Rattus norvegicus: one gene and its partners. The protein of the gene in region 2 purifies or fractionates together with the protein of the main gene of each other region. This does not show direct contact. Links are inferred from orthologs where the notes say so. Each region holds a gene or a part of one and is shown on either strand. Other genes may lie near its edges. The genes, in order: Cdc27, Anapc16, Anapc2, Anapc7 and Anapc13.

Evidence for each region.
Region 1: the proteins of Anapc16 (region 2) and Cdc27 purify together in Homo sapiens (affinity purification with mass spectrometry; 10 studies listed by BioGRID and IntAct, with this or other methods). This does not show direct contact. The link is inferred for Rattus norvegicus from reciprocal best matches to the Homo sapiens genes ANAPC16 and CDC27.
Region 3: the proteins of Anapc16 (region 2) and Anapc2 purify together in Homo sapiens (co-immunoprecipitation; 5 studies listed by BioGRID and IntAct, with this or other methods). This does not show direct contact. The link is inferred for Rattus norvegicus from reciprocal best matches to the Homo sapiens genes ANAPC16 and ANAPC2.
Region 4: the proteins of Anapc16 (region 2) and Anapc7 purify together in Homo sapiens (affinity purification with mass spectrometry; 6 studies listed by BioGRID and IntAct, with this or other methods). This does not show direct contact. The link is inferred for Rattus norvegicus from reciprocal best matches to the Homo sapiens genes ANAPC16 and ANAPC7.
Region 5: the proteins of Anapc16 (region 2) and Anapc13 purify together in Homo sapiens (affinity purification with mass spectrometry; 3 studies listed by BioGRID and IntAct, counting the BioPlex papers as one, with this or other methods). This does not show direct contact. The link is inferred for Rattus norvegicus from reciprocal best matches to the Homo sapiens genes ANAPC16 and ANAPC13.

Annotation. Positions count from the first base shown.
Region 1 is NC_086028.1:89,924,878-89,930,930, reverse strand, and holds part of Cdc27 (cell division cycle protein 27 homolog), read left to right. Parts: intron 1-401; coding exon 402-527; intron 528-3,285; coding exon 3,286-3,383; intron 3,384-4,035; coding exon 4,036-4,190; intron 4,191-4,293; coding exon 4,294-4,505; intron 4,506-5,610; coding exon 5,611-5,725; intron 5,726-6,053. UniProt on the Homo sapiens protein: Component of the anaphase promoting complex/cyclosome (APC/C), a cell cycle-regulated E3 ubiquitin ligase that controls progression through mitosis and the G1 phase of the cell cycle.
Region 2 is NC_086038.1:28,468,636-28,473,592, reverse strand, and holds the end of Anapc16 (anaphase-promoting complex subunit 16), read left to right. Parts: intron 1-368; coding exon 369-443; intron 444-2,434; coding exon 2,435-2,550; 3' UTR 2,551-3,311; downstream 3,312-4,957. UniProt on the Homo sapiens protein: Component of the anaphase promoting complex/cyclosome (APC/C), a cell cycle-regulated E3 ubiquitin ligase that controls progression through mitosis and the G1 phase of the cell cycle.
Region 3 is NC_086021.1:28,482,176-28,488,879, forward strand, and holds the start of Anapc2 (anaphase-promoting complex subunit 2), read left to right. Parts: upstream 1-2,452; 5' UTR 2,453-2,457; coding exon 2,458-2,616; intron 2,617-2,852; coding exon 2,853-3,475; intron 3,476-3,711; coding exon 3,712-3,844; intron 3,845-4,600; coding exon 4,601-4,775; intron 4,776-5,880; coding exon 5,881-6,000; intron 6,001-6,704. Other genes in the region: microtubule nucleation factor SSNA1, read right to left, coding at 1,395-1,502, 1,866-2,065, 2,239-2,290. UniProt on the Homo sapiens protein: Together with the RING-H2 protein ANAPC11, constitutes the catalytic component of the anaphase promoting complex/cyclosome (APC/C), a cell cycle-regulated E3 ubiquitin ligase that controls progression through mitosis and the G1 phase of the cell cycle.
Region 4 is NC_086030.1:39,817,071-39,823,557, forward strand, and holds the start of Anapc7 (anaphase-promoting complex subunit 7), read right to left. Parts: upstream 4,545-6,487; 5' UTR 4,416-4,544; intron 3,830-4,415; exon of another isoform or gene 3,828-3,829; 5' UTR 3,674-3,827; coding exon 3,573-3,673; intron 3,557-3,572; exon of another isoform or gene 2,613-3,556; intron 2,451-2,612; exon of another isoform or gene 1-2,450. UniProt on the Homo sapiens protein: Component of the anaphase promoting complex/cyclosome (APC/C), a cell cycle-regulated E3 ubiquitin ligase that controls progression through mitosis and the G1 phase of the cell cycle.
Region 5 is NC_086026.1:112,082,161-112,088,920, reverse strand, and holds the start of Anapc13 (anaphase-promoting complex subunit 13), read right to left. Parts: upstream 4,517-6,760; 5' UTR 4,464-4,516; exon of another isoform or gene 4,275-4,463; intron 4,246-4,274; exon of another isoform or gene 4,106-4,245; intron 2,184-4,105; exon of another isoform or gene 2,092-2,183; intron 861-2,091; 5' UTR 834-860; coding exon 735-833; intron 1-734. UniProt on the Homo sapiens protein: Component of the anaphase promoting complex/cyclosome (APC/C), a cell cycle-regulated E3 ubiquitin ligase that controls progression through mitosis and the G1 phase of the cell cycle.

The DNA of each region.
Region 1 (6,053 bases), on a different chromosome or scaffold from region 2:
TATAAAACTTAGGATGGCTGTGGGCAGTAAGCAGTAAACTAAGAAAAATCAGGTTTTGCATGCACATTTCTATACAAAATGAAGAACAATCACACACATTTGTAAAGCCATTAATATTCCCCTCATATAAAATGATCAACTGCTTCTTTAGCATGAATAATACATATGCTGCTCAAACTAGATTTGTCCACATAGCAATTAAAATTTAATGAGTTCTGGTTTAAAGGCAGGACTGAAAATATAAGGTCATAAATCACTAGCTTCCTAATGATTCTAACTACATGATTGTTCTAAAAATACCATTAACTTTTCACTGCGTCTGTCATTAGACTCACGGTGATAATGAAGGATGTCTTCATGAAGTGCGTTTACTGACATTAAAATAAATTTATATTTTAAAGGCTTGCAGAAGGGGAACAAATCTTATCTGGTGGAGTGTTTAATAAGCAAAAAAGCCATGACGACCTTGTCACTGAGTTTGGTGATTCAGCTTGCTTCACTCTTTCCTTGTTGGGACATGTATATTGGTAAGTGCCAGTGACTCAAGACTCCTGTATAGAAGTGCTCTGGACTGTGCCCATTTGATATAGACTCCTCTATAGAAGTGCTCTGGACTGTGCCCATTTGATATAGACTCCTGTATAGAAGTGCTCTGGACTGTGCCCATTTGATATAGACTCCTGTATAGAAGTGCTCTGGACTGTGCCCATTTGATATAGACTCCTGTATAGAAGTGCTCTGGACTGTGCCCATTTGATATAGACTCCTGTATAGAAGTGCTCTGGACTGTGCCCATTTGATATAGACTCCTGTATAGAAGTGCTCTGGACTGTGCCCATTTGATGTAGCCTATATTGATGTTTACAGACCCAGTTGGCTTTGTAGTTCTAGCCTTTCCCATCATGACCTCATTCCATCCGTTACCTAGTAAGGACGTCGTCCCATTTGCACTCTGCTTAGCTCCTTAGTGATAGTAGCTACAGTTCTAGCAAGTTGTCACCACTGAAGACACCAGTGGTTTCTTTTCCTTAAAATTAAATACTACTCTTTCCCTTAGAGTTGTGGAAGGTAGGTTTCAGTAATGCAAATTAAGTGTTATTTTCTTCCAATATGTAGTAACCTTTGAAGTGTGTAACAAGGATTTTTTTTTTTTAAAGCTTAAAGATTTATTTATTATATATGAGCACACTGTAGCTGTCTTCAGACACACCAGAAGAGGGCATCAGATCTTATTACAGATGGTTGAGAGCCACCATGTGGTTGCTGGGATTTGAACTCAGGACCTCTGGAAGAGCAGTCAGTGCTCTTAACCACTGAGCCATCTCTCCAGCCCTGTAACAAGGATTTTTAACATCCATGAACTCAGAATTACTATATAATAGTAACATGGTTCTCACTCCTGTTTTAAAAAATACGTTTGAAGGGGTTGGGGATTTGGCTCAGTGGTAGAGCGCTTGCCTAGCAAGTGCAAGGCCCTGAGTTCGGTCCCCAGCTCCGAAAAAAAGAATAGAAAAAAAAAATACGTTTGAAGTTGAGTAGAAAAATAGAAAATATTCAAAACTGCCCATCGGGATTTTTTGCATGTAATAAATGCCATCTGTTATATATTATGAAAAAAGGGATTAAAGCCTACAAAGAAAGAAAGAAAAAGAACTGCTGTTAAAAAAAAAAAAAGGGGGGGTTGGGGATTTGGCTCAGTGGTAGAGCGCTTGCCTAGGAAGTGCAAGGTCCTGGGTTCAATTCCCAGCCCCGAAAAAAAGAAAAGAAAAAAAAAAAAAGTAGCCAGGTATGGTGGTGTATCCCTTTAATCTCAGCACGCAGGAGGCAGAGTTTAAGGCCAGCTTGGTATTTGTGGTGAGCTCTGGGCCATTCAGGGATACATATGACTTTTTGTGTAGAATAAATTATCTGGTTAAATAGGGGGTTTTCAGGTGATGTCAAATCATTCATGCCACAGTTGTGAACTAGAATAAAGAAAGATAGAATGAGTTGAAAAATGGTGTACGCCTTTCGTCCCAGCACTTGGGAGGCAGAAACAGATGAATCTTTGAGTTCTAAGACAGCTAAGGCTACACAGAGAAAACCTGTCTCAAAAAAAAAAAAAAAAAAAAGAAAGAAATGAAGCTGGGTGCTGTCGTCCAGCTATGATTATTGTTGTCATTCATTCGAGGGATGCTTGAGGTTCTTCTCCCATTATACCTAAAGACGGTAAGGACTTGGTCCTGGGAATATTAAAGGGACTAACTCACAGCCCCCACCATATTTTGTGATGGAGAAGGAAGAAACAGTAGTTAAAATTTTTATTATTGTCAAAAGGTATTGTAATAAGGTTTGGGCAGTATTTTGATCAGGTGAGGGAATGCTAGTTTTAACTGGTTAAGAATAAAGGCAGCAGCCTGTGTTCCGTCCTCCATGCTGGGCGGGAAGGAGTAGTAACAGAACGCACCTAGAGGAGAGTTGACAGCAAAAAGAGTCATTTTTTTCTTATATGGTGGCTTCTCAAAAAAAGTAGATGTTTGAGGGCAATAAATGATTTACAGGGAGTGATGGGGGAAGGAGGTTGAAAAAATAAAAATCTTAAGGAAAAATGTAGAAATTCTTTTAAAGTATAATTAGATTAGATAGAAAAATATGTATATTTTGGAATTGCCAAAAGCAAATATAGGAAGGCTAATCACAGGAGTTTAGATCAATCCTCAAACATTGAGATTTCATTGGATTTTTCCCTTTAATATTTCTTTAGTGAATGTATTTTCTGTGCGTTGCATGTTTGCAGTAAGGCCAGGGGAGAGGTTGATCTTTCTACGTCATTCTACCTTCTTTTAATCAGGGTCCAGTCTCTGTCTCTGTCTCTGCCTTTCTCTCTCTCCCTCTCTCCTTCTCCACTCACTCACTCACTCACTCACTGAGCCTGGCAGTCACCAGATCGCATCCATCCTCCTGTCTCCACCTCCCATAGCACAGAGGTCACACTCATTTATGGTCACACTCAGCTTTTTTTTTTTGGCATGGATGCTGAGGTTCGAACTCAGGTCCTTGTGCTTGTGCCACAGCCCCTGTATTTTTCTTTTCCTTAACCTTGGATTAATATTAATTAATTGGTGTTAATACCCATGGATTGATTTGTTATTTATGACTTCTATTGCTTCTAGAAAATTATAATTTAGGGACGCATCAAAGAGTGCTGTGAGAATTTTTATAAGATTTACCTGGTTTTTTATATCAAAAATTATAAGAAAAGCTTTAGGGCTTATAGTTTATTTAATCCATTGTTTCTCTCCACAGCAAGACAGATCGGCTTGCCAAAGGATCAGAATGTTACCAAAAGAGCCTTAGTTTAAATCCTTTCCTCTGGTCTCCCTTTGAATCGTTATGTGAAATAGGTAAGCTCATGGAGACGGTGGCGGGAGCGGTCTTCTTCCTCTTCCCCTTTTCTATTTCTCTCTCTCTCTCTCTCTCTCTCTCTCTCTCTCTCTCTCTCTCTCTCTCTCTCTCTCTCCTTTCTGTTTGTTTTATATTGTATTTTTTGAGTTCGGGTTTTCTCTGGAACTCTGTAGACCAGTCTGACCTTGAGCTCACAGAGATCATCTGCCCCTGCCTTCCAAGGGCCAGGACTAAAGGTGTTTGCCACTGCCTTCTGGCAGCAAGATCTAAGTTTACTGCCAGCTTCAGCCGCATTCAGCTTCACCACTAGGGGAGTTTGCAGGCAACCCTATCTCAAAACGCATCTTACTTCATGCAGAGGTTTTCAGGTTGGGCAGCAGACACCTTCCCCGCTGTACCTTCATGCTGGCCCTGAGTTATGATATTTAAAACTTGTAATTTAGTTTATTTCCCAAATGTAATCTTTAATGTAAGGGTTAACTTCCACAATAAGTTAATGATTGGGCGTTTGGGAGGTAAGATTGATAACATAAGTGGGCAGGAGAATTTTGAAACTCCAAGGCTTTATTTGTACCTAATTATGTATACTTGAAAAGAAATTACCCCTCAGAGGCAAGTTTTTTGTTTTGTTTTGTCTTTTGGTCTTCACAGGTGAGAAGCCAGATCCTGACCAAACATTTAAATTAACATCTCTACAGAATTTTAGCAGTTGTCTTCCCAACACGTGTACAGCTCTAGTATCTAACCACAGTTTATCTCACAGACAGCCTGAGACAGTCCTTACAGAAACTCCCCAAGACACGATTGTAAGTGCTTTCCTTCTGATGCTCAAGTATTCTGAACACCCGCAAGGGTGATTGGGCCTTAGCAGTGTATCATAAGTGACATGGTAGAAAATTTCTGTTTCAGGAATTAAACAGACTGAACTTAGAATCTTCCAATTCAAAGTACTCCTTGAATACAGATTCCTCCGTGTCTTACATTGATTCAGCTGTAATTTCACCAGATAACGTCCCCCTTGGAACTGGTCCTTCCATATTATCTAAACAGGTTCAAAATAAACCAAAAACTGGTCGAAGTTTATTAGGAGGACCAACTGCTCTTAGCCCATTAACCCCAAGGTAAGTCACACAAGATATTTTAAAGTGTATTCTAATATATTAATGATCTTTGGTGAACCCTATTACTAGTAATGTAAGTTAATTTAAACAGCATCCTCTCAAATCAGTGTGACAGATTGGCGTTCTGTTTTCAAAAAAATGAAGTAAAAAAAATACATCTATAACATTTTTGAATTAAATATTAAAAGGGTGAGAATGTAGCTCAGTTGGTAGAATGCTTGTAGAGCATGCACAAAGATCAGGCTTGATTCTCAGCACTCTGTAAACTGGGCAAGGTTTCAAATGCATGAAATTTTACCACTTGGGAGGTAGAAGCAGGAAGGTCAGAAGTTCCTCAGCCAGGAGTTAAAAGTCAAAGCCTATGATATGTGATGATCTTTCTCAAAGTAAAATTAAGCAGAGGAAAATATTAAAGCTTTTTAAATATGTATCAATTAGTGTATATGTGTATTAAAGATCCAGTCTTTATGGCTGTGCATCTACAGATAGCAGTGAATCCCTCCAGATGTATGTGTATGGTGTGCTTATGGCAGCATTTCCAGTCCTCATTTCTGAAACCTGTCATTGGGAAATAATGTTGTCAAGATTATTAAAAGTGTATTATATACGTATACAATAACACTTCACAAAGGATACGTATCAAACTATCAAACATACCAGAACTATCAAACAAACTCATGAAAAAATAGACTATGAATGGAGTCTCAAGGCCAGAAAGCTATTAAAATAGCATGACCAGGAGATTGATTGGGGCATCTGCAGAGACCAATGGATAACTGTATCGATAATTATTAAGTAATTACTAGTAATCTCTAGAATATTGTCTTCATTGTTCCAAAAATTGGGGTTTGTTTTCATCATTTGGATCATAGCTTTTAAACAGCAGTCCGTTTCTAAGAAAAATAGCCACTGTTCTCTTCAGGTCCTTGTCCTGTCTCTGTGGTTCTGGGGGGTGGAGCCCTCTACATTCACAGCTCATGTTGAACCTGCCCCTCAGGTGACTGACTTGCCATTCTCTTCCTTTTAGACCTTCTAACTTAAGTATACTGCTGCTTTATATATGCCTTGATGACTTTTTGACACCTTGATTTCAACCTCTTCTCAGTTTTGGGATTTTGCCATTAGAAACCCCAAGTCCTGGAGATGGATCCTATTTACAAAACTACACTAATACACCTTCTGTAATTGACGTGCCATCCACCGGAGCACCTACTAAAAAGGTACTTTCTGTGTAAAATGTAGCTTGGGTATAATTAAAGAAACTTATTTAAGGGGTTGGGGATTTAGCTCAGTGGTAGAGCGCTTGCCTAGCAAGCACAAGGCCCTGGGTTCGGTCCCCAGCTCCAAAAAAAGAAAAGAAAGAAACTTATTTAAAACTACAATCTATTAAGGTAATTTCAAGAGAATCCAACTTTATATAATTACTACTTCCTTAGAGTTACTGACCAATCATGAAAGAATGTCCTTGTCGTATATACATAGCCTACCACCTGTATCAGACAGACTCATCAGTGTTGGCTTTTCCAACTTACACATCTAGTTCTTTTA
Region 2 (4,957 bases):
TCCCTTGGCTGTTTTTTAGACTGGAAGTAATTAGAGTTCTGTCACAGTAAGTCACACAAGTACCATATAGTTGTTTGCCTGCTGTACAGAAGAGAACAGGTCAGGAGGCAGGCAGTGGTAACTAGGACACCAGGCTAAGGCTTCTTGTTTTTGTTTTTGTAACACTATTTTTGAACTCTCTAACAAGTAGAACTATTTTTAATATTAGGTATAGAGAGGTAGCTTGTACAGAGCAGTGTTCTAAAGGGTCCCCTTTGTTCTCACCAGAAACACCTTAGACCTCAAATGTAGAAGCAGGGAATGAGTGGACAGCCTCTCTTGCTTTGCCAGAAGCTATTAAAGCTAATGCCTGTGCCTTTCGCTTGTAGATGGCTCTGAGCGATTCCTCTGTGAGTCGGTGTTTAGCTATCAAGTGGCATCCACACTTAAACAGGTGAAACATGGTGAGTATAAGACCTGTTGTCCTGTGCATTTATGGGAAGTGAAGGGACACAGCCTATGAAAGGTCACTGCTGTGGCAAAAGCCACACACTGGTTAAGTGGACCTTCTGAATTGAAGGACATTCTAAAATCTTGTTGAGCTTGAAAATCCCCTTGGAGGTTTGAAGTTGAAGCCCCGGGTTCAGTTCTCTAGTGGAGCTGCTGCTGCCTGCTCCTCAACTGCCTTTGTCCCCTCTCCTGAGACTAGCTACTGCTCCCCTTCAGACATTACATTCTTCTAGTGTCTGTAGCGCCTTCTGCCCTGTGGAAGCCCTGAACTCCGGGTGGCACATGCACTTCACTGAGTCTCAATATGCACCAGTCCTCCCAGGTCAAACCATGGCAGCTTCCGCCTCAGCCACCTGAGAGCTAGGATTGCAGACATGAGCCCCGAAGACCATCTCCACGATTTAGCATCTAGCACATCTGAGAGAGTGACTGTAGTAATTATCTTTTTACTCTTCACAGTGCTAGGGCTCAAACAAGGAGCACGGCATACACTAGCATGTGCTTCACCACTGGGGCTCATCCCCAGCCCCTCATAACTGAGAGGCTTTCCCTTAATTATGTTTCTTATTATTTTCTCATTCTGAAACTCATTTCTGAAATTCTGAAACGCGTAGCCCAGGCTGATCTAGAACTCAGAGCACTTCTCCTGCCTCCACTTCCCAAGTCTGTCTGTCTGTCTGTCTGTCTGTCTGTCTGTCTGTCTCTGAGTGTCTCCCCTCATACCCTCCCTCCCCCTCTCTCCCCCCTCATCTCTGTCTCTGTGTGTGTATGTGTGTCCCCCTGTCTTTCCCTCACACTCACACTCTCTTTTTCTGTTTTTAATTATGCACGTAGGTATGCAGTCCACATATTGGTGTGTGCAAGTGAGAGCGAGGACCTCAAGGGCCTAATGATGACAGGGACTCCTGGAGCTGGAGTTACAAGTGGTTGTGAGCCATCTGACAGGGGTGCTGGGAATTGAACTCAGAACCTCTGCAAGAGCACTCTGTGCTCTTAACTAACTGCTGAGCCGTCTCTCCAGCCCCTCTCTTTTCTTTATTAAGAGATGGTAGGGGCTCACTTTGAGTTCCTCTCCTGCTACAGGATCTACTTTGCTGCAGCAATAAACCCTGCTTGCCTCTGAGCAGAGGGAAGTTGTTAATACAGATTTAAACATAGGGATTAGTAGGATTAATAGAGAGAAACCTTAGGAAAAGGAGAGCACATACCCAAGTATGGGTGTGGGCTCCGCAAGAGAGTCACCTGTATTTCTTAAGAACTGTATTTAAAATTATCTTAATATAAAAAACTTTGCAGACTCAGAGAAAGAAAAGAACATGGAAGCCCCATCTTGAGATTTGGTCCTGGAAAGGGCTGAGTCTGAAGGGAGATAAAGGGGTGACATACCTTGCCTGGTTCAGACAGCAAGAGAAAAAACAATGTTCAGATAAGAGCTGGAGAGATGGCACAGCAGTTAAGAGCCCTGGCTCTTCTTCCAGAGGACCTGGGTTTCATTTCCAGCACCCACAGGGTGGCTCACAAGCATCCGTAACTCTTGCTGTAGGGGATCTGACACCCCCTTCTAGCTTCCCTAGTCACATACACATACATATAAATAATAAGCAAATAATGAGAATGAACGGATTCAGGAAGTTAGCCAGTGCCAACCTCTGCCCACCATGTACATGACACACATCCACATACATGTATACATCCACACAAAGGGCAGTGTGCATGGAAGCCGATAGAGCCCAGTGGTGGAGCACTTGACCCTGGAATGCAGGTGAGTGGAGAATGGCTAGAAAAGGGGAGTTTGGTTCGGTTTGGTTTCAAAAGTTTGTCTTCAGACCTACATAAAGTAAGGAAAGTCTGCCTTGAGATTAAGCCTAGATAGTTGTCATGTTGGTAACTTTGGTGGCAGTCTAATGGGAAATGTCCTGGTGTTCTATCTCTTGACTCTTTACAGATCAGCAAGTCGCTCGGATGGAAAAACTGGCTGGTTTGGTGGAAGAGCTGGAGGCTGATGAGTGGCGGTTTAAACCCATCGAGCAGCTGCTGGGGTTCACACCCTCCTCGGGTTGATGATGCTGCATGGTCTCCCAGAGAGTCACAGCTATACTGTGAGCTGCATGTCTGAGTTCACATCCATACGGCTCCTCTGTTTCTATTAATAGGCAACAAGTGCTCCTGTGAGACGGCACTGGGGTGTTTTTCACATTCGTGTTCTGAAAAGTATTGGGCAGCACTTGGGAAGCAGGAGCAGGAGGATCTCTGTGAGTTCGAGGCTAGCCTGATCTACATGGAGCTCCAGGACAGCCAGGGCTATGTAGAGAGACCCTGTCTCAAAAATAAAAAGAAGTATTGGGGATCAGATGACCACAGGCCTTTCAGAGAACCAGGAGAGTTGGGATTTAGGAGACATTTAGGACACGTGCCAGAATCAGCCAGATGAGTGGCGTATATCCTGTCATTCAGAGTGTCTGGAAGCTTTCACCAGCCAAGCCCAAGGTCAGCATCTGTCACTTCACGGTCACAGCCCAAACATTTCTCTTCACACATAAATGTGATTTCAGCTCAGGGACTGTCCAGATGGGAACTTTAAAGTATTCTTTCCTTCTCTATTCTTAGACGTTTAATATTACTGATTATTTTTCTCGCCTCTTACCACATGGCAAATGGTGCTACTCTACCCCATCTCTGCCCTACCAAAATTGCTTTTTGAATGTCACAGCACTTGAAAACATGAAGTGACCTAAATCCTTTTAGACCCAGAAGTCCTTAGTCCAGCTCGCTGGGGTATGAAAGCAATTCTGTAGCAAATAAATCCTTGCAAGAGCTCCAAATTGGTGTGCTTATCCTTTCAAAGTCGGGGGGATTTAGACAGAGAGGAGAGGCCGGGTGAGTTTTCCCTTAGATTCTGCAGTCACTTCTCTTAAGTAAACAGTAGGTTTGCTTTGCTGTGAGCTGTTCGCTTGTATAGAAGTTCCAACTTACTGCTACCTCAGTCGATGTAACAGTTTGTTGGTTCATTCATTTGGAACCTCGTCTCTCCGTAGCTAGGCTGGCTTCAAACTTATAGTCATCCTTCTGCCTCAGCCTAATATGTCTGAGGATTACCCTCCTCTCTTCACTAGGTTTTTACAGGATGATAGAGAAAAGCCTGGATGACCAAGACCTTGTCATGACCCACACCACTGCACAGTTAGGAGTGCTCTGTCACATACACATCTGCCCGAACTGCTTACAGTTGCTTAATTATAGATGAATTTAATCCTTCATCTCAGGAGTTCAAACTGTTTGGCACAGAGTCCCTGAGAGGGACGAGTTAGCCTCACTCACTCGGGAAAGGCTAAGCCAGTGAAAATAAACTGCTGTGCAGGGTTGCATAGCTCAGGCAGAAGACAGCCCTGTGAGTGGGAGTGGATGAAAGCTGACCGATTGTGGAGCCCACTGCTCTTGTCTGAAGCAAACCAGAGCTTGGGGGTACCGGCCCACAGCCTCACCCTCTCTGTAGTCTGCTCAGCCACTGTGAAAGGCCATTCCCAGCTGCTTCCCTAGAGAGCAGTGGGATTCCCAAGTGCAGTGAGCCCTCTGGTTTCATAGTGAAACCACCTCCCTTTGCCCCTGGTACTTACACTTACTACAGAGCATTTCCTCGTTTAGGTTGAGCATTTCATAATGTGACCTTGAACATTAAAGAGAAGCCAGGCTTGGTATCACACACCAGTAATTCTAGCACTTGGGAGGTGAAAGTGGAAGAATTAGGATTTCATGACCAGCCTGGGCTACATAAGACCTTAGAGAGAAGCTAGCAAGAGGATAATGGAAGAGATTAGAGAGACACGGGGCTCCTTTGTGAATGTTTCCCATGAATCACTCAGCTGTTACAGGCCCTCCCAACAGAGCCCTGACTACTCTTTTAAAGGTGTGTTCCAGCTCTCTGCACCTTTCATTGGCTGTTGTCTCTCACCCCCAGTCTACCTCTGACTCATCTCTCACTGTGTCAGACCTTAATTAGCCCTTTCTATAGCTAAATACTACCCCACACATACCATGGAAGAGGGGCATGAGGTCCAGAGCAAGCTGCATAGCTGAGGTCCAGTCTGCCAGCCCCAAAAGCTCAGACTCTATGAAACATGGTATTGTAATCCCCAGCCTTAAATTTGTACAGTGAAAGCTCCTGGGGCTAGTAGGATGGCTCAGTCAGTAAGGTGCCTCCCAAGCACAAGGGCCTGGGTGTCATCCCCAGAACCCACATGAAGCCAGACATGGCAGCATTTGCAAAGAACCAGCCCTGAGGAGGCAAAGCTAGGAGACTTACTGGCAACCAGTCTAATATTCGGTGAGCCTCAGGCCACTGAGAGACCGTGCTTCAAAGGACATGGTTGGCACCCCTGAGGATGGTATAAATTTGTCCTCCACCCTACACGTGGACATGCCTACACACATGCATACACATCAAGGGGAAATGCTAAAACTTGTGTATTGG
Region 3 (6,704 bases), on a different chromosome or scaffold from region 2:
CATTTGATTTGGATACCTCCTGACCTATAAGCCTGTAACAAGGCTGTAGCAACAGAGTTCCCAAAAGTCTAGGGAGATGCAGAGCTGCCTACTTGGAAATTGTTCTCAGAGGCCTTGGCAGCCAGTGCTGAGATAGGGCCATCTACAGACACTAAATGTGTCTCCTTTTCCTGTCACCTAAGAGCAAATACAATGCTTGACTAGGCTCAAGCAGAGTGTGAAAATGTATGTTTCTCTCAAGAAAATAAAAGCCCAGTTTTTTTTTTTTTGTTTTGTTTTTTTGTTTTTTGTTTTCCAGAGCTGGGGACCGAACTCAGGGCCTTGTGCTTGCTAGGCAAGGCCTCTACCACTGAGCTAAATCCCCAACCCCTAAAAGCCCAGTTTTATAGGTACTTTTTTTGTTTAAGAAAGGGTTTCACACTGTGTCCCAAACTGGTTTACAGTTTACTATGCTCACTTGAATAGCCTTGAACTTAAGGCTTCTTCCTCAACGAAGGGATGATAGGTGAAAACTACCACAGCTGTTTTCTGGATCTTCTTGGTCAACAAATACTTCCAAACTTCCCCAGAAGCTGTGCAAAGGGCTGGGTCATAGGGCACATGGAAACAGGAAGTAAGCAACAATGTGGTTGGGAGATGGGTCCTGGCAGCAGCAGTGTATTGGACCAAACAGAACTTTGTACTGAGAGATGAACTGTCCCTGTCTCTATCTCTGAGCCAGGCTCTGTATTGAGTACCATTGTACAGCAAAGCCCCTCACAGAATAGTAGTTTGTGTGCTGAACTTGGGGAAATATCAGCAGCAGCTTTTCAAGGAAAGTTCCAGGCTAGGGCTGACCTGAGTGAGGTGAGAACTTTTAGCTCTGTGCTCTGAAGATAGGAGAGTCAGGGAAAAGCTGCAGGTCTTCCTCCTACCAACAGGACACATGGTAGCTGGCAGGCCATGCCACAGATCTTGCAAAACAACCTTTATTGAAACACCAGAGGTCATGGGGATGGGCCCTAAGGTTTTGGTTCTGGAGCCAAGATTCTTTCTTCAATATGCCTGGCCTGGGGCCCTAGTGGCTGAGGAGACAAAGTGAGGGGCTCCCACAGTACCTGGACTAGGACCGAGACATTCCTGGCAGCCCAAGGAGATACAGGAGCTTCAGAAAGAGGCTCCTCATGGAGCTGACCAGGAGCTCAAGGTTCCAATAACACATGTGAGTGCGGAGCTGGGAACACATCTTCCATTGGACTGTCCTGGGGCTTGTCTTGTCACTCAAGGCAGGTGGAGGTCAGAAATTGACACTCAGGGCACCAGAGATAAAAGACATCTGAGGCCATGGAGAACAAAGATGCTTTAGGACAGACATGTTGGGGAGCAGCCATAGGCCACGGCTGAGACAGGGCTTGTCAGCTGTCTTTGCCTCCACTACTCTTCTGGTCTGAAGCCGTGGCTTTAGTCAGGTTCCCAGCTTCTCTTTTGAGTACACTAAGCAGAGTCTGAGAGCTCTCCAGGATCTGGGGCCAGAGAAATAGAAGGATGTTATTTCTCTGGTAAGAAGATTCCCACTGCCTCAGCCTCTGATAGTGGAGGATGGGAATCTCAGTCTGGCCATCTGTGCTGAGTCAACGGGTTATGGAGGATGGTGGGGGCAATAAAATTATCCTCCCTCCTGCACCTGTCCCAGAGCTCTTCCACCCTGCAAAGCCAGGCTGAGTTAGTTCACCCACCACTATGGTACTCTGTCCAGCACACCACTGCTCACTCTCTTGGATCCCACAAACAGCCCACTGTCCGGCCTACAGCCTCTGAACCACAATGGGCCCTACCTAGCCTCAGATGGTAGTGAGGCACTGACAACGCATATCTGAGAGCCCCACCTTGAGGTAGGCGGCCTCTGTCTCCGCAATGGTCCGGTCAAACTCGTTGCGAGAGGCGATCTTGCGCGCCAGGTTCTCGTTGACGCGGGCCAATTTCTCCGTGAGCTGCCTCACCTCATTCTGTAGCCGCTGCTTTTCGTCCTCCTCCTGCTGGATCTGCCGGCACAGCTCCTCTCGTTTCTGACACAACTCTTCGATGCCTAGGGTGGGCGGGAAGACAGAGCTGTAGGTTGGGGCTCGTGAACTTCGGACCCCGACCAGCACGACAGAGGGGAGGCCGCAGAGCGGAGCTCGTGAGGCATGTCGACGCAGCCTCCCGAGTGTGTGGGTTGGCCGGCCCCCGGCCCCGCGGCCTTCAGCGCCCGACGCTCACACTTGACCAACTCGTTGTTGTAGTTCTGCAGCGCCGCGCCCTGTTGGGTCATGGTCGGCACCGCGTCCGTAAGCCTCAACCGCCGCCTGCACCGCCAAGCCCGCGCCTGCGCACTGCCTACACAGCGCGCGCGAGCAAGCGAACGTCACGACTGCGCCACAGCCCGCGCTTGCGTCATCACCGTGCGCTACGCTGGGCGGGTCTGTTTTGTGGACAGTGATGGAGGCCGAGGGTGTGGCGGTATCGGTGGCGGCGGCGGCGGCGGCGACAACGACAATTGTCGCCACGGATGACTGCGACTCTAGGCCTGGACAGGAGCTCGTGGTTGCCTGGAATACTGTGAGCACCGGTCTGGTGCCGCCGGCTGCGCTGGGGCTGGTGAGGCCGGGGAAAGGTTGGCGGGCCTGTGCAGAGTTGCCACGACTTTGTCCTTTAGGGAGTCCATCCTTGGGTCCTCATAGCTCCCGTGCTCTGCCCGTAGTGGGCTTGCCTCCTTCCTCAGCTATCTGATTTGTTTGGTTTCCTGGCAGCCCTTCGGCTGCTGTTTTTTTCCACACCCCTCCTCTCCTTTTACCCCTGTTCCGCCCCTCTGCTCACGGTTTTCCGTGCTCCAGGCATCTTCCCGGACCAGCGGTGCAGTTCCACCAAAGGAGGAAGAGCTTCGTGCAGCGGTAGAAGTTCTGAGGGCCCACGGTCTGCACTCTGTCCTGGAGGAGTGGTTCGTGGAAGTGCTGCAGAATGACCTTCAAGGCAACATTGCCACGGAGTTCTGGAATGCCATCTCCCTTCGCGAAAACTCTGTCGATGAACCCCAATGCCTTGTGCTGCTCCTGGATGCGTTCGGTCTGCTGGAAAGCCGCTTGGATCCCTATCTGCATAGCCTAGAACTCCTAGAGAAATGGACTCGTCTGGGCTTGCTGATGGGCGCTGGAGCTCAGGGTCTTCGGGAGAAAGTTCACACTATGTTGCGGGGAGTCCTGTTTTTTTCCACCCCTAGGACATTCCAGGAGATGGTCCAGCGCCTCTATGGTCGTTTCCTGAGAGTCTATATGCAGAGCAAGAGAAAAGGAGAAGGGGGCACAGATCCAGAACTAGAGGGAGAGCTGGACAGCCGGTATGCCCGCCGCAGGTACTACCGACTTTTGCAGAGCCCTCTGTGTGCAGGATGTGGCAGTGACAAGCAGCAGTGCTGGTGCCGGCAGGCCCTGGAGCAGTTCAACCAGCTCAGCCAGGTCCTGTAAGTACTGCTTCCTGGCCATGCCTCAGTTTCTTTAAAAAGATCTCTGAATAGAGCTAATAAACTGGATGGCGAGGTCTTTTTCGCCTATACTTGTGACCAGGGATTATTGTGTATCAAGTGTATGCTGTCCTGGACATAGGCCTAGGGTGTGTGTACAGTGTCTTTCTGGGAAGACCCCTTCGGGTAAAGGACACATGTGTTGTGGGTTCTCCATAAGCGGGGATCTCCTCCAGGCATAGGCTCAGTCTGCTGGAGCGGGTTAGCGCTGAGGCCGTGACCACCACCCTGCATCAGGTGACCCGGGAAAGGATGGAAGACCGCTGCCGAGGAGAGTATGAGCGCTCTTTCTTGCGTGAGTTCCACAAGGTGAGAATCTCCTCCTTGGTCTGTTTCCTGTTAAGGGCAACGATGGGGTTGGGGTAGACCTAATAGCAAACAGTGGAGTGGTGATGGTTGAGATTATCTTGCTGCCGTATAGAGGCCAATCTTGGACCCTGGTGACAAGGACAAATCTGGTATGTACCAAATAGGTCTGTGCATTTAAAATAAAACCTTTAAATCCTGGGCCAGAGGTGGCTTCAAGGAGTTTCCTCAGGCAGGTGTGGCAAGACAGGTCTACCAGACCCTTTTCTTTCCACTGTCCTATAAAACATATGTTGACTTAACAGTTCCCTTCAGGATTAACCTATAACCAGTCTGGAGCTAGGCTGTCCTCAGTGAATGCCTCTGGTTGTCCATACTCTTGAGGTATGGTTTGTAATTCTTCTGTGGGGTTCCCAGCATTGTGAAGAAGCCAGGTTGAGCTCCATGCAGTCGTGCACCTTGTTTCTGCTTCAGTCCATACCTCCCACTCTTTGAGTGTCTGTCTGCTGCAGATGCATATTAGCCATGGTAGGGAATGATCAAAGTGGGTGTCCCCGCAGTGTTAGCCGTGTAGAGTCATGAACCTGGGAACTCCTGGGGCAGCTGCATTGAACCCTGGGCAGTGGAGTGTAGATCTGATACTTCTGGCCTCCATGCACAGGTCGGGGCTCCACTAGCATCCTGCCGAAGCTGTGTGGTTGCTGAGTCAGAATGGAGCTTTTAAATGTTATTACACCTCATACTAATGATCTTTCACAGTGGATCGAGAGAGTGGTTGGTTGGCTTGGCAAAGTGTTCCTTCAGGACAACCCCAGCAGACCAACTTCTCCAGAAGCTGGGAACACACTGCGTCGTTGGCGCTGTCACGTACAGAGATTCTTCTACCGAATCTATGCCAGCCTACGTATTGAGGAGCTTTTCAGCATCATCCGAGGTTGGTCCTGCTTCTTACTTTGCAGGACCTACCTTTCCCAGTCATTTTCTTTGCCTTACCTGCTGCTGTTGGCAGGGTGATAAGCTGAGCAGAGTGGACTTAAGTATAACATGTAGGAAAATATAGTGTCAGGTTGTAGAGATGTCTCATCAGTTAAGATGGCTTGTTGCTCTGACAGAATACTCAGGTTGTTGTCAGCACCCGTGTGGCAGCTCATAGCCATCTGTAGCTCCAGTTCCAGGAGATCAAGAACCCTCTTCTGCCCTCCACTGGTACCAGGCATCCACATGGAGCCTATACATCTGGGCAGCAAACAGTCCCTGCAAACAAATACTCACATGCATAAAGATTTTAATCTTTTTTTTTTTTTTTGGTTCTTTTTTTCGGAGCTGGGGACCGAACCCAGGGCCTTGCGCTTCCTAGGCAAGCGCTCTACCACTGAGCTAAATCCCCAACCCCAAGATTTTAATCTTAAAATTTAAGATTTGCAGCCGGCATTGGTGGCACACACCTTTAATCCCAGCACATGGGAGGCAGAGGCAGGCAGATGGTTCTCTGTGAATTCAAGGCTGGCATGGTCTACAGATTGAGTTCCTGGATAGCCAGGGCTACACAGAGAAACCCTGTGGTCTCAAAAAATCAGGAGGGGGAAAAAAAAGATTTGAAGGCATTTTTACTAATTGCATTGCAAGAGTCGTTTGGCAACATTTTATTTCCATTTTCCCAAGAACTAGTACAACTTGGGACAGTTCAGCTATCTACCATGGAAGGGATGACTGTGTTGTGTGAGTCAAAGCAGCTGTTGGAGCTTTAAGTGTCATTACACCTCACACTAATGTACTAATGATCCACAGTGGATGGAGAGAGTAGTTGGTTGGCCTGGTAAAGTGTTCCTTCAGTGAAGCAGTCATATGTGCTTCTGGTTAGATGAGCCATCTATAGTCAGATTGGCCTCCAGTGACAGTTAGTGACAGTAGAATGTTTGGTACCTGATGGATGGTTCTTGTCTGAGCCCTGCCAGGTTGTGTTTCTTGTGCTGTGTGTATCCTTTAGTGCTTATCACCCCTTTTCATTTACCTATCCCTATGGCACCATTCTCTTTCAGACTTCCCAGACTCTCGGCCAGCCATTGAGGACCTTAAGTACTGCTTGGAGAGGACGGATCAGAGGCAGCAGCTCCTCGTGTCCCTCAAAGTGGCCCTAGAGACTCGACTCCTCCACCCAGGTATTGTGTGGCCACTGTGGCCTGACCATTCAGATAGCCCTCAGGGTTCACATACAGTTCCCAGCCCTGAATTTGTAGTCCTGAGAGAGGAGCATGTTATTAAGCAGGGAGAGCTGGGCTAACCCTGAGCTTTATCTGTTTTTGGAGGAAGTCAGAGCATGATTTGGTCTGGGACTGGTTTGTGATCTTTTTGGAATAGGCTGCTTCTTAAGGGCAAAGTTTCTATACTAATCTCAGAAGGTTGCAGTTCATCATAAAAGCCTTTTTTTTTTTTTTTTTTTTTTTTTAATGTAGACGAGACTGGCCTTAAACTCACTGCCTTTCTCTGCTTCCCAATAGCTGGGATTAAAGGAGTACACCACCACACCTGGCTTACTAAAGACTCTTGGGTCTAAGTTGGTAATCAAACATTCAAAATTTACTGCAGTAAAGAGCACTGACTGCTCTTCCAGAGGTCTTGAGTTCAAATCCCAGCAACCACATGATGGCTCACAACCATCTGTAATGGGATCTATTGCCCCCTTCTAGTGTGTCTGAAGACCTGGACTCACATAAAACAAATAAATCTTAAAAAACAAAACAAGGGGCTGGGGATTTAGCTCAGTGGTAGAGCGTTTACCTAGGAAGCGCAAGGCCCTGGGTTCGGTCCCCAGCTCCGAAAAAAAGAACCAAAAAAAAAAAAAAAACAAAACAAAACAAAACGA
Region 4 (6,487 bases), on a different chromosome or scaffold from region 2:
TAATGAGTCTTTTTAAAGAGTCATTAGTATTATTCATATGTGTATGTGCATATGTGCACACGTGCATGCTGCTGCCCAGAGGAGAATGTTGGATCCCCTGCTAGGAACTTGACATGCATGCTGGGACGTTCAGATCCTCTACAAGAGCAGCCAACACTCTTAGCTATGGAGCCATCTCTCGAGGCCCTGAAGTCTCTTTCAATTTTACATACAAAAAGCAAACGACAGCTCCTGGACTCTCAGGTGTGTAAAGTCAATGTGTGGGAACGGACTTTCCTTTCCTCTTTGTTTTTCAGTGTCTCACATGGAGCACACAGGCAAGCCTATCACAGAACTTCATCCTTTACCCTCAAAAAGATGCAGCAGTCCTTATAAGCCAGGTTAAATGCCGAGACACTGCTTTACTTTTTGTCCAAGGCCTCTACACGTTATGCAAGCATTCCATCATAGCTCTATCTGTAACCCTGGTTACCACTCCTATGTTTGTTCCTCCAGTCCCACTCCTTCCCAAATTAAGAGATGTTTATACATTTTTCTCTGAAAGTGAAGAACAGACCAGGACAAGCAATTCTATAAACAGGAGTTTGCTTCATGTTATTATTTAGTTTTGGCTGTTTGTTTGTTTGAAGACAGGGTCTCACTATGTAGCTCTGGCTCTCCTCGAACTTGCTCTGTAGACCAGGCTGGCCTCAAACTCAGAGTTCCACCTGCCTCTGCCTTCTGAGTGCTGGGATTAAAGGTGTGTGCCAACATGTCTGGCCCAAGTATTTTAAACATAGGGGAAGCCATATGTGGTGGCATAGGCCTTTAATTCACATTCAGGAGGCAGAAGCAGAAAGATCTTGGAGTTCAAGGCCAGCCTGGTCTATACAGCCAGTTCCAGGACAGTTAGGACTACAGAGACCCTGTCTCTCTCAAACAAAATGGGAGAGAAATTTAAAAAAACAAACAATTAGGTACCACTGCCAGTATGATCATACACTTTGGTAGTCCTAGCATTTGGAAGCAGAGGCAGGAGGACCAGGAATTCAAAGAGCTATCCTTGGCTATATAATCAGTCCAAAATCAGCCTGGGCTATGACTCTCTCTCAAAAAGTAGGGTTAGAAGGGCTCTGTAGATAAGAGCATGTGGGTTTTGCAGAGGATTCAAGTCTGAATCTCAGCACACACATCAGGCAGCTTGCAACTGCTTGAACTCCAGCTCTGACCTCCAAAGAATCCGATGCCTTCTTCTGGCCTCCAAATGCACCAGGCACATAAATATAAAAATCAAAGTAATTCCAAGTCTATTAACAGTCATTCCCTAATCAGATTTCACTTGGCAGGGAATAAACTATAGTACCTTCATAAAAAAAAATTTTATTATTACATATGTGTACTTGGATGTCTGTGTACATGTACACACAACAAAAACAAAAGCAAAAACACTCAAAACTGTGAGGTGGGGGAGAAAAAGGCAAAACAAGAGAACATTCAAACAGCAACATAGAGGAAGGCCGAGCACTGCTTCCTCAGTTTTAACCTTACCCAACCACCTTCCTTTTCCAGAGAAAACAATTGTTTTCCTTGTTTTCCAAGTATGGAGAGACATTACTAGGCAAGCATGTTACAGTGTATAAACATTTGACCACTTCGGGAGTAAAGCATCAAACGCTTATTTTTCAGTGAATACATACATATAATCAGGCCTTCCAAGAAATTTGTTTTGCTATTGGCCATGCCATAAACCCAAGCCTGGGTCTTATACATGCCAGGGAGGCTCTCCAAGTCTGAGGTACAACTCTAACCTCTAGAGGAAAGCTGTAACAAACCACTCCATAAACACCCTTCATTCTTTGAATTTCCTATGTGACATTACACACATTGTTCAACCAACTTGCCCATTTTCGATTTGGGCAGTGCTGAAGATGAAACCTATGGTCTCAAACATTTTAGGTAAGAATTCTACCACTGAACTTTTTTCAACAGTGTATACACTGTCTCTTCAACAAATAACAAAATATAAAGGATACAGGTCAGAACTTAAATGCTTCCTGTAGCTAAAGAAAACTGATGATCTAACCTAGTGTGAACAAGCATGGATTAGCCAAAGTCAGACTAGCTAGAGAAGCAAACTCAAGAGCATTCAGACAATGCTAACACACTGTCAAGACTCAAGAGTAAAGATTAGAGCATTAATCCCCAATACTATTTGCTATGACGAATCACTCAGACCCAGGGGGAAAGGCCTCAGAATCAACATAGAAGACTGACAGAGACCAGTGCGTCCCGTGTCACATTAAGAAGATGGTGATCGGGGCTGGAGAGATGGCTCAGAGATTAAGAGCACTGAGTGCTCTTCCAGAGGTCCTGAGTTCAAATCCCAGAAACCACATGGTGGCTCACAACCATCTGTAATGGGATCTGATGCCCTCTTCTGGTGTCTGAAGACAACTACATATTTACATATATATGTAAATATTTTACATATATATACACACATATATACATATATACATATATATATATGTATATATACATATATATATGTATATGTATATATACACACATACACAGTGGTGGACTGCAGTAGAAACTATCTCCAATCACAGACAACCAGAACTCAAACCCACTTGCTCCTCTAAGTTCTCCGGAGTATAATCTTGGTCGACCTATTGGACTGCCTTGTAATAGACACGCACTTTCATTAAGTTTAATAGTGCTTCTCACACATGGAAACTGCTCTTTCAACAGATGGCAAGAGAGAAGGGGAAAGATCAAAGTGGAAAGGTCTGGTGCTAGGAGGTCCGTTTAAGAAGAGGCTTCTGAGCTGAAAACTGAACCAGGAAGCAAGCAGTTCTGAAGTGAAGCCACAGGTGCCAATGCCCGGAGAGAATGAACTTGTACTGAGAGTTCGGGCAAGGTGAGAAATCAAAGAAAGGAATGAATAGGTTGACTTGGGAAGCCACGTCGAAGGGTGAAGCAATGATGGGGAATTTTTATCAAGGCCCAACAGGCACTCAAGGCCACAACTGTCCCGTGCTTCAACTGAGACTCAGTAAACCGGTCTAGACTCAGTAAACTCCGTTGGTAGGGTTTGCCTAGCACGCATGAAATCCCGGGTTCGAACCCCAGGACCACACGTACACCGAGCACAGTGGGGCAAAAACCAGCGATCCCAGCTTCTGGGAGCAAGGTCTTCCTCGACTACACAGTCTGTTGCGGGCTCGTCTGGGCTACAGGAGAGCCTGTTTGTAAACAAACCAAAACAAACCAGTCACGACAATGCGGCTGCGTCGGGCCTTACAAAAGGCTGCCAGAGTCCTTTAAAAAAAAGGCGCCACGACGCTCGCCAAGGGTGCTCCCAGTCTCGAAAGTGGGGTTCCCTCCCTACGCCAGAGCGGAACCTCCATGTCTGACTGGGTGGACTGGGTCTCCGGGAGGCAGCAAGAGGACTGCGTCGTTCTGGAAATAGCCAGTCCTCCGAGACCACCGGAAGAGGCCCTCGCTATCCGCGCAGCCTCAGCCGGACCACAGCGTCCTCCACTATCTCAGCCCCGGCTCCCAGACCGCCGCTCCCCGCCTCCACTCACGGGTTGTTATTACTCATGGTCAGCAGCAAGCTGCTGAGGAGCCGCACGTTGGAGTGCAGCCCAGCGGCCGCCATGTCCCGCACATGATCTATCACACTCATCCTGCCCGGCGACACCGTGACCCAGCAGCAGCTGACAGAACCCCCAGGAGCGGAGCCGAGTCTCAGGGAAAGTTCCAAAATGGCGGCGGCGGCGGGGTCCTTCTGGTCCAGACGCGGCTCCGCCCCCCGAAGATATAGGTTGCTACGGATGTGCCTGCGTAAAAAGAGGCAGTCGTGAGGCGAAAGGGGTTGCCCCATCATTAAAGGATAAATTTTATTGAGGACTGACCACGCTAGAAGGAATATCCGAGTAGGAATAGTGGTTTTGCTGAGATAAAGACAACCCAAGAAGAATGGACGCCTCTCAGAGGCTAGCAACAATGTTTAGGAGTTCATCATAAACCTAGCAGAGGCGGAAAACTAACAGTTAAAATTGAATTTTTGAATCAGGCGCCCAAGGGCTGACTTTTTTCCACTACGCGTGCGCTCCAGGGGAAGGTGCCACGCCCCCTCATCTGCTGGCTTGTGTTCCTGTCGCTCGCTGAGTAGATTCCTTGCTACAAGTCATGGTTTACCAATTCAAGTGGCCCGCTAAATCCAAGTACAAAGAAAGGATAGGTCCAGGAGTGAGCTGGATCTCTGATGGCTCCACTGTCAACATCTCAAGCGTTTACGAACTCGTTACTGCATTGCATAGTCACAAACTGCAACGCTGAAGCCATTCCCATAAAGGGTGGAGAGCCGACTCAGAAGTTAAATCTGCATGCTTCTCTTGCAGAAGAATTCCGTTCCTAGCACCTACCTGGTGGCTCACAACAGTCTGTAAGACCAGATCCAGGGCATCCGACTCCTTCTGGTGTCCATGGGCACATACATGCATGTGGTATACAGACATACATTCAGGAATGCATGATAATCATAAAAATAAATTAAAAAAATAACAACTTATGGCCGGGCGGTGATTTGATCCCAGCGCTTGGGAGACAGAGGCAGCCTAATCTCTGTGAGTTCGACATCAACATGGTTTATAGAGTCCAGGACAGCTAGGGATACATAGAGAAACAGTGTCTGAAAAAGCCTCCCCTAAAATAGATAAATACTCTGAATTGTCATTCATTCCCTACTTGCCAACGAAGAAACCCAAACTTTCAAATGTTAAAGCTGGGCACCTTAAGAGTAGAAGCACTTATCAGCAAGGCTAGCTTTCTAAATTGGACCCCCTGTGTCCACCATGGTGGAAGGAGAGAGCAGACTCCTTCACGTTGTCCTCTGAGACAGCAGCATGTGCCTTTCACTCCCACAAAATAAGTAACTACATGCAAATAAAATTTAAACAACTGAAGATGTTTGTTTAGATTTGAGATTCAAGGTTTGTTTTCATTTTTTTTTAATCCAGGAGAGAGAGAGAGAGAGAGAGAGAGAGAGAGAGAGAGAGAGAGAGAGAGAACGAACTCACATGGATACTGGGTTAAAACTCACATTCTCATGCTTCCGTAGTATGGTGGTGACCTGAATGAGAATGGCCCCGTAGGCTTGGATAGTTGACTGTTTGGTTCCCACTTAGTGGATTGTTTAGGAAGGATTAGAAGGAGTGGCCTCGGAGGAGGTGTACCTCTATGGGTGAGCTTCGAGGTCTCAAAAGCCCACACCACGCCCAGTCTCACTCCCTCTCTGCCTCCACCTTTCAGATCAGATGTAAGGCCTTAGCTACTGCTCCAGAGCATGACTGCCTGATGCCCTGCTTCCTACTGTGATGATCATGGGCTAACCCTCTGACACTGCAAGGCAGTCCCCAATTAAGTGCTTTATTTTGTAAGTTGCCTTCGGTCATGGTGTCTCCTCACGGCAATAGAATAGTATCCAAGGCACGCAGCAGGCACTTTACCAACTGAGTCCTATTCACTTAATCTTAAAGAAACAGATGCGAAAGAAAGTCCATTTATTCTAAGAAAAATCATGACAGAAACACACACACACACACACACACACACACACACACACACACACACGAATGTTCTGTCTGCATGTACAGCTGCATGTCAGAAGAGAGCATCAGATCCCTTTATAGATGTTGTGAACCACCAATGTGGTTGCTGAGAATTGAACTCAGGACCTTCGAAAGAACAACCAAGGGCAGCCCAGGGCTATATAGTGAGTTTCAGGCCAGCCTGATGTATCTATAAGAAGACCCAAGTCAGGAAGAAAACATGCCAGGCATGGTGACAAAATCCTTAAGGCACAGCCCTTGGGAGGCAGAAGCAGCTGGATCTCTGTGGGCTCAAGGCTAGCCTGGTCTACCTTAGTAAATTCCAAGACAGCTAGGGATACATAGTGAGACCCTGTTTCAAAACAAAAACAAACAAACAAAAAAATACGTCCTACTTCTTAACGGTAGCCACATAACGGGAATAAGTGTTGAGCAATCAATGAAGAGTCAAATGGATACAGTGGGACCCTGTGGGATGATGTCATACAGGTGAAGGCGGGTACAAGATAGAATAAGGCCTGGGGTTGGGGATTTGGCTCAGTGGTAGAGCGCTTGCCTAGGAAGCGCAAGGCCCTGGGTTCGGTCCCCAGCTCCGAAAGAAAGAAAAAAAGGAGAAAGATATACCTAAAAAGGCAAAATGCTGCCATTTGGGGTTTGTGCCAAGATAGAATAAGGCCTGTCATTGGACGAGAAGAAAAGATGGGTGGGAGAAAAGTTTGAAGGAAGAGGAGGAGACTGGAATGGGAGGAGACTGGGGGGAGGAAACCACCGAAGGAACATGGAGGCTGATGTTAAGATTCCACTCTGTGGGGTTGGGGATTTAGCTCAGTGGTAGAGCGCTTGCCTAGGAAGCTCAAGGCCCTGGGTTCGGTCCCCAGCTCCGAAAA
Region 5 (6,760 bases), on a different chromosome or scaffold from region 2:
GGGAGGGGCTGAGAGGCGGCTCAGAGGTTAAGGGCTCCACTGCTTTTGCAGAGGACACTGTTTGGTTTTTGGCACTCACTTTGGGTGGTTCACACCTGCCTTTAACTCTAGCTCCAAGGGATCCAACACCCTCTTCCCGCCTCTGAGGGCACCTGCACTTACACACTCCCTCACTGTACCCCAGACACTCACATCACACACACTCACACAGACACAAATGGAAATAAACCCTAAGGGCTGGGGGGTGGCTCAGTGGTAAGATCACCTACTGCTCTTCTAGAGGCTCCAAGCTTTGTTCTCAGCACCTATGCCAAGTGACCTCTAACTACCTGTACGTCCAGCTCCAGGGATTTGACGCCTTCTTCTGTCCCTCTCCCCACCTGCACATGGTGGCAGACATTCTCACATACATATATACATATAAATAAAAACAAATAAACCTTAAAACAAGAACAAAAAAGACTGATAAGCCAGCATGCTCCTTGCTCCTGGGTGTGATGTGCTAAACTCACACTTGGCCTCCCTCGGGCTTTGGCCTTCCTGGGCTTTGGCCTCCCTCTGGGCTTTTGTGGCTCCAAGTATCTGGGCTCCAGTCCTGATGTGATCTCTAATGAAGTTGGTTACACCAGCCAGTTGGGTTCCTGGGCCCTAAGCTTTCACTTCCCACCAACCCCCACTGAGTCTCCCCACATTCTCTCTCAGACTCCTTTTCCTGAGCCCCAATTACAACCCACCAGTGGAATCGCTACATCCTCATATGGCAGCTTGTCCTCCCGCCAAGCGTCGTCAATAAGATCCAAGATCCTTCCATCTCGCTGTACCTCACTGTCCATCCTCCTGCAGCTTTGATCTTGTCAGGTCTGTAAGCCAAAGAGGTAATTTTTTTTAACACTATGAAGGTACAGTATAATCCAGTACCAGGATTGCTTTTAGCTTGAAACTGGTTTTGTTACTGTATTTAACATCACCCCAGGAGAGTCCCATCTTGTGTCAGATGACATCAAGGCCACAGTTCTCACCTCTGCTGACAGGTGCTTGATGGATTAGGCTGCCGTGTAACCAGAGGGCAAACTTGTCTTCTGAATAAGGTCCTTTCTTTTATCTTTATGATCTTACAGAATCACCCTTCCCTGCTTGTGATGTCTTCGATGAGTCTCTGACTTGACTCAGACTGGCTTGGTCTGAGTGTCATCTCCTGCTCCTTAAGCCCTCCCCCACTATTTGGCACAAGTCTCCACCTGTCTTATTCAAACACTGGCATTTTTAAGGCACAGGAGCTAAGGGAACATGCTGGGTGACACTGAACTGGGAATCATAAGGTGACCAACCATAGGCCAGCTGCTAATCCTTAGCGCAGGAACAATGTGGGCAGTTAGGCTTACCCAGGGAACCACTTCCTTTCTTAAAGAGCATCCAGACTGAACTCAACAGTAAAAGTTTAAGATCAACGGTGGCAGTTCCAGGTTCTTTGTCCCCTTGGGCTTCCTCCTTTTTGTTTTTTGAGAGTCTCAAATTCTCTGTAACCGAAAGCAGCCTTAAGCTCCTAATCCTCCTGCCTCTACCAATGGGATTACAGGCCTGTGCCACCGTCTCTGCTTTGTGAGGTATTGGGAACAGACCCAGGGCTTTGTGTATACAGGTTAAGCACGCTGACAACTGACTTACATCCCCAGCTGAGGGGGATCCTGCAGGAGTCCAGGGAGGTGAGGATGAAGTGAAATTTCACCAGTCTGGCTTAGACTTGGGGAGTTTGATGCCAGGAGGTTTATTTCTAACGGACTTAAACTGGTATGATTTGAAAAAGAGTTTCCTGGTATAACAATTTCTGGTGCACAAGAAAGTGTAATTACATTAAAACTGCACTTAGGGTCCACGACATTCCTTCCAAGAAGGCGGGTTCTAGAGATAGGTACTGGGGTCCAAGGAAGGTCTCAGTCATACAGCAAGAGAGTTCACCTGGGCTATCAGCGACCTTCGCCCTGGCTGTAGGAGCCTGATGTGGTCTGGCCCAACAGATCACTCAGATTACAGGACTGTTAATCACTTCCAATTCCCAGCTCTTTGGATAGAAGAACAGGTTTTACATCTTACCATTGGAAAAACAATCCTGCACGTTTAACATTTTCCCTGGATATTTGTGGGTGCAGGGATCTTTGTGCTGCGATCCCAACATCCAGCCTTCATCCTTCTTGAAAAAAAAAAAAAAAAACCCTGTTTATTTGTGTATGTACATGTGGAAGTCAAAGGACAACGTGGCGATTTTGGTTCTCTTCTTCCATCAAGTGGGTCCCAGAGATTGAACTCAGGTTGCCTGTAAGCCACTAGGCCGTCTTGTTGGCTTTCCTCAGTGTCTGTTCCAAAGGCTCAGGATGCTTGCTTAGGCCCCTGACCACAGACTGCTTCACATGTTTCTCCTCAAACTGTTGCAGTCTAACTCAAAAGACTGGTCGTCAAGCAGTGCTTTTTGGGTTTCTGGCTTCCAAGTTTGTTCCTTATCACAGACACAGCCTATTGTGCTTCTTGCCACAAAGTGGCAACCCAAGGAAAGGTCCTAAGGGTTAGCACCAGTAGCTCTCTCAGGAACTGCTGTTTCTGAGAGAAGGGAGACTCAAGCAAGAAACAAACTTTGCCATACGGCTATGTGCTTGTCTCCAATGGTGTAAAGGCAAAGCTAGCACTATCTACCGAGTCTGCAGGAGGGAAAGGGCTTTCACTTTAAAAAATTAAACAAGATGGGGCCCAGAAGGAGGTTCAGTGGACTGAAGTGCTTGCTGTGCAAACAAGGGACCTGACTTCAGATTGCTGGCACCCACGTAAAAAGCCTGGCACGATGGCACACACTTGTGTCCTCCGGGAGGCTGCCAGGCAGTCTAGTTGAATCAGAAAGTTCCAGGTTTAGTTTAAGATTCAAAGTAATAAAGGAAGACACAGACGTTGACCTCTGACCTCTACACTCATCTACGACTCCACCTGTAGGCAGAAACCACACCTTTTTTGTCTGCTCATGCACACAGACACACCACACACCCGCATACAAACACTGAAGCCAAAGGTGGTCAGCTCCTCCTGCTGAGTGAAAACCAGGTGATGGCTTAGCAGTTTTCCTCAGACTTAACCAGACCCTAGCTAGTGGATAATGCAAAGCTAGCTGAAGAGCCACTTCTAGTCACTCCTCTAGGGCTTGACAAGTTTCCTCCCCTTTCCTGTCAATCTTTTGTTTTTATAGCTGTGTCTTGGGCTACATTTCATTCTTTCCTGTACTGATTTTCCCAGTCCTATACAGACTGCATCCTTTTCTAAAGTGTTCTGACTTCCTTCCAGTTTTTTAGCAGGCTCTTTGTCCTTGAATGCTTTGTTGCTCACATTAAATGATCTATGAAACAAGTTAGGTCAGCTTTGTGATTGACTGGCAGAGTCCTACTGTCTCCAGTGGTAATGCGGTGATTCCCAATCTTTCAACAAGCTGGCCTCAATGTTTGTTTGTTTGTTTTTTAATTATTTATTATGTATATATCATACAGCTCTCTGCCTGCATGTATGCCTGCAGACCAGAAGAGGGCACCAGATCTCATTACAGATGGTTGTGAGCCACCATGTGGTTGCTGGGAATTGAACTCAGGACCTCTAGAAGAGTAGACAGTGTTTTTAACCCCTGAGCCATCTCTCTGAGCCTGGCCTCATGATTTTTTAACTCCCTGAGCCCGGCCTCAATGTTTTTTAACACGACCCTCTCCCACATGCCTACAAACCGGCTTGCTTTTTACCCACCCACTGTACTTCATCAGTTATGCTTGCTCGTCCTTCTAAACAACAGGAACCGCGGCAGGGCTTTGAAGTCTACATCTATTTTCCTGGGTCAGGTGATCGGGTGCTCCCCCTGGGAAAAGCAAGCACAGGCAATGCCCCAAACCCTTACGACACAGCATAACCTCTCTAGGTTTCTTAAACTTTTTGTACTCTTCTCTTACTATGCCCGGTCCTCCAGATAAATTCTCAGCTCTCAGATTGTCTTGATCTCTGAGCACAATATGTGACAACAGGAGTTTTTTTGTCCAGACATCTCTTTCTAGATATTAGATGCGTACGTCCTATGAGACATACTCACGTTTTATGTATTTTCACAATCACAGCTTTGTAAATGTATTTCTAAGCTAAAAGCACGGGGGCCGATACTAAAATTGGCCTTCGCAGGCCACCATCTTGGGTCACTAGACGCAGAACCACCCGCTGCAGCCGTTTCCGGTTCGAGTGCTGGAGCTACTACGTGCGGAAGTGCAAGGGGGAGGTCGAGCGTCGCCATGGGTGCTCCGTTCCACTCCGCACAGCGTGCAGTAAAGAAGTGGCTCTGAAGGTCGGTTGAGAGTACCGGCCTGCGCTTCTGGAAGCGCTGAACGACTCTGAAGTCGAGGGCGAACGCTTGGCTACTCTCAGAAACCCGGGCGGCGGGCGCGAAAAACCCTTACCCACAGAGCGCGCGTCGGCTTCCTCCGGGCCCCGCCCTTCTTCCGGGTCACGTGACGCACGGCGCTCTCATACCCCGTATGTAGGTGAGTCCATTCGCTGCTGTAGGGGGCGGGACGAACGTCGATTTATTGTGACGTGCGCGCGTTCCCGGTCAGAGGAACGGCGGGCAGGCCCCGGGGCGCGCTCTGCCGGGGGCGCGCTCCGTAACCGACCGCATGCCCCTAAGACGGGCGAGCTGCGGCTTGTTGTGCGTTTGCGGCCCTGGCCACCGTGGTGCCGCTAACCTTCTGGCCGCATGGCCCGGGGCCGCAGTTCGTTGCGGCCCACCTACCGCGGGGGCCTCCACTGCACGCCCACTGCTGTCCGGCCGCTGCGTCCCTGGGTTCCTCCGTCTCCTCCCTATGGGGCTCTGAGCTGACCGGCCAGGTGCTACGGCCAGCGGGAGGGCGGGTTGCTTCGCTCCCGGGGAGGAACCCTGCTGCTACGGGTGTAGGACCAGGCCTTAGCATTAGCCACTCAGCGTGAAGTCCGCAGGGTTCCCTCGTAATGTTCGTAGGAAAGGTGCGGGAACCCCTGATGCAGGCGAATTGCGGAACGCTTTCAAGTCGAGTGAAAGTTTTGAAAGAGCAGTTCGATAACAACGCTTTACGCGGAGACACTTGACCGTGAATGGATTGATTGGAAAGGGCTTTTGTACTTCACAGAATCGTGGGGTTACAGAGTTTTCATTTATAAACTGTACACTTATTGCTCAAAGCGATCCCCTTTCTCTCCAACTAGCACCGGCTCTCCTTTGTTGCTCTGGTCGACCAGGCTGGCCTCATTGTAGATGGACCTACCTCTGCCTGCTAGTTAAGGATCTGCACCACCTCGCCTGGCTTTTTGAGTTCTCTTTCTTGAGGCCAATTTAGAGTTTTAAAATGTATTACTTTATTAAAGCAGGGTAGGTGCTCTTTGTACAATTCTTCGAACATTTGCATTTATTTTGTATTTATATTTTGTAAGTCAAAGATCAATGGCTTTAATTATCTAACTATTTACACCTACTCTTAAAGGCTGTAGCTTAGTGATACGATGAAACGAATTATCTTCGTTTCATTCATGAATTATATTCATTCATTGGAATGCAGCGCCATTTTTAGGTAATTTTTGTCCCTGCTTCTTGTCTTTCACTGTGCCGTCCTCAGCGATCAGTTAAGGAGGTTGTCAAACTAAAATGGGTTAGAGATTTATAAACAGATGCATGTCCCTTTAGAATGTGTATCTGCTGATGCTGTTTCCTCCTGTGGGGAGGTAGGGGACAGTTCCTTAGGCCTTCCTGTCCTGTGTAGTGGCTGATGGTGACAGCATTAGTCCACACTATCATAGCTAACATAGTTAAGGTACTCTCCATGCCAAAGGCTAGATTTGCTTTTTTAAGTTTTACAAAATCACGGTGCTATCTTTATATCAGTACAAATTTATAACAAATACACAATATCAATATCCAATGGGTTCAGGGTTTTTCAGCTACTCCATATGTGCTTGAAATTGAAATACTGTGCTTGGACCAGATTTCCTGCAGAGAACTGTCTGTTGCCTTCGATTGCTAGGCCTTTAAAGCCCTCTAATCTATAGCATTTTCTTACCTCCATTTATCATTCAGATTTAACTGATTGTATATATTTTTGACTATGTTCCTCTACTCTTCTATGACCTCTCCTCCACTGGCTAAATCTTGAATTACACTGTCCAGTGTGGCAGTCATCAGCCAGTCCTGATATTTTAAATGAAATAAAAGTTTGGTTCCTCAATTGCGTTAGCCACATTTGATATACCCAGCGTTCACAGGTTGCCTAGTGGCTACTGTTTGATCAATACAGATAAAATGTTTCCATAATTACAGAAAGTTCTGTTGAAATACAATGATCTTTTGAAATAGTGTTAGATTCAACCTTGATTTTTGATTGGAGGTATAAGAAAAACGTAATAGTTATAGGCTTTATATTATGAAAATTATCGGTTGCATTCATTATCAGGGAGACTTGTAATGTCTGAGTCATCCCACTTGGGATGTTGAGATTAAGCTGTGTATGTAGTGGTTCCTATGCTGTCTGCTCAGTTGATCCACCATGAAATTGCCCAGGAGCCCTTTGGTCAATAGAGAGATTTAACATGGCTAATAGTGCCCAGGTCTGTTACTGCAGGACAGCCACGGTCATGCGCCCAGTGCACTCTTATCTGACTATCCTGAATACAGCTTATCCAGGAATAGCAAGAAAATGCTTAACTCTGTTCCTTTCCTTTCAGACTACAG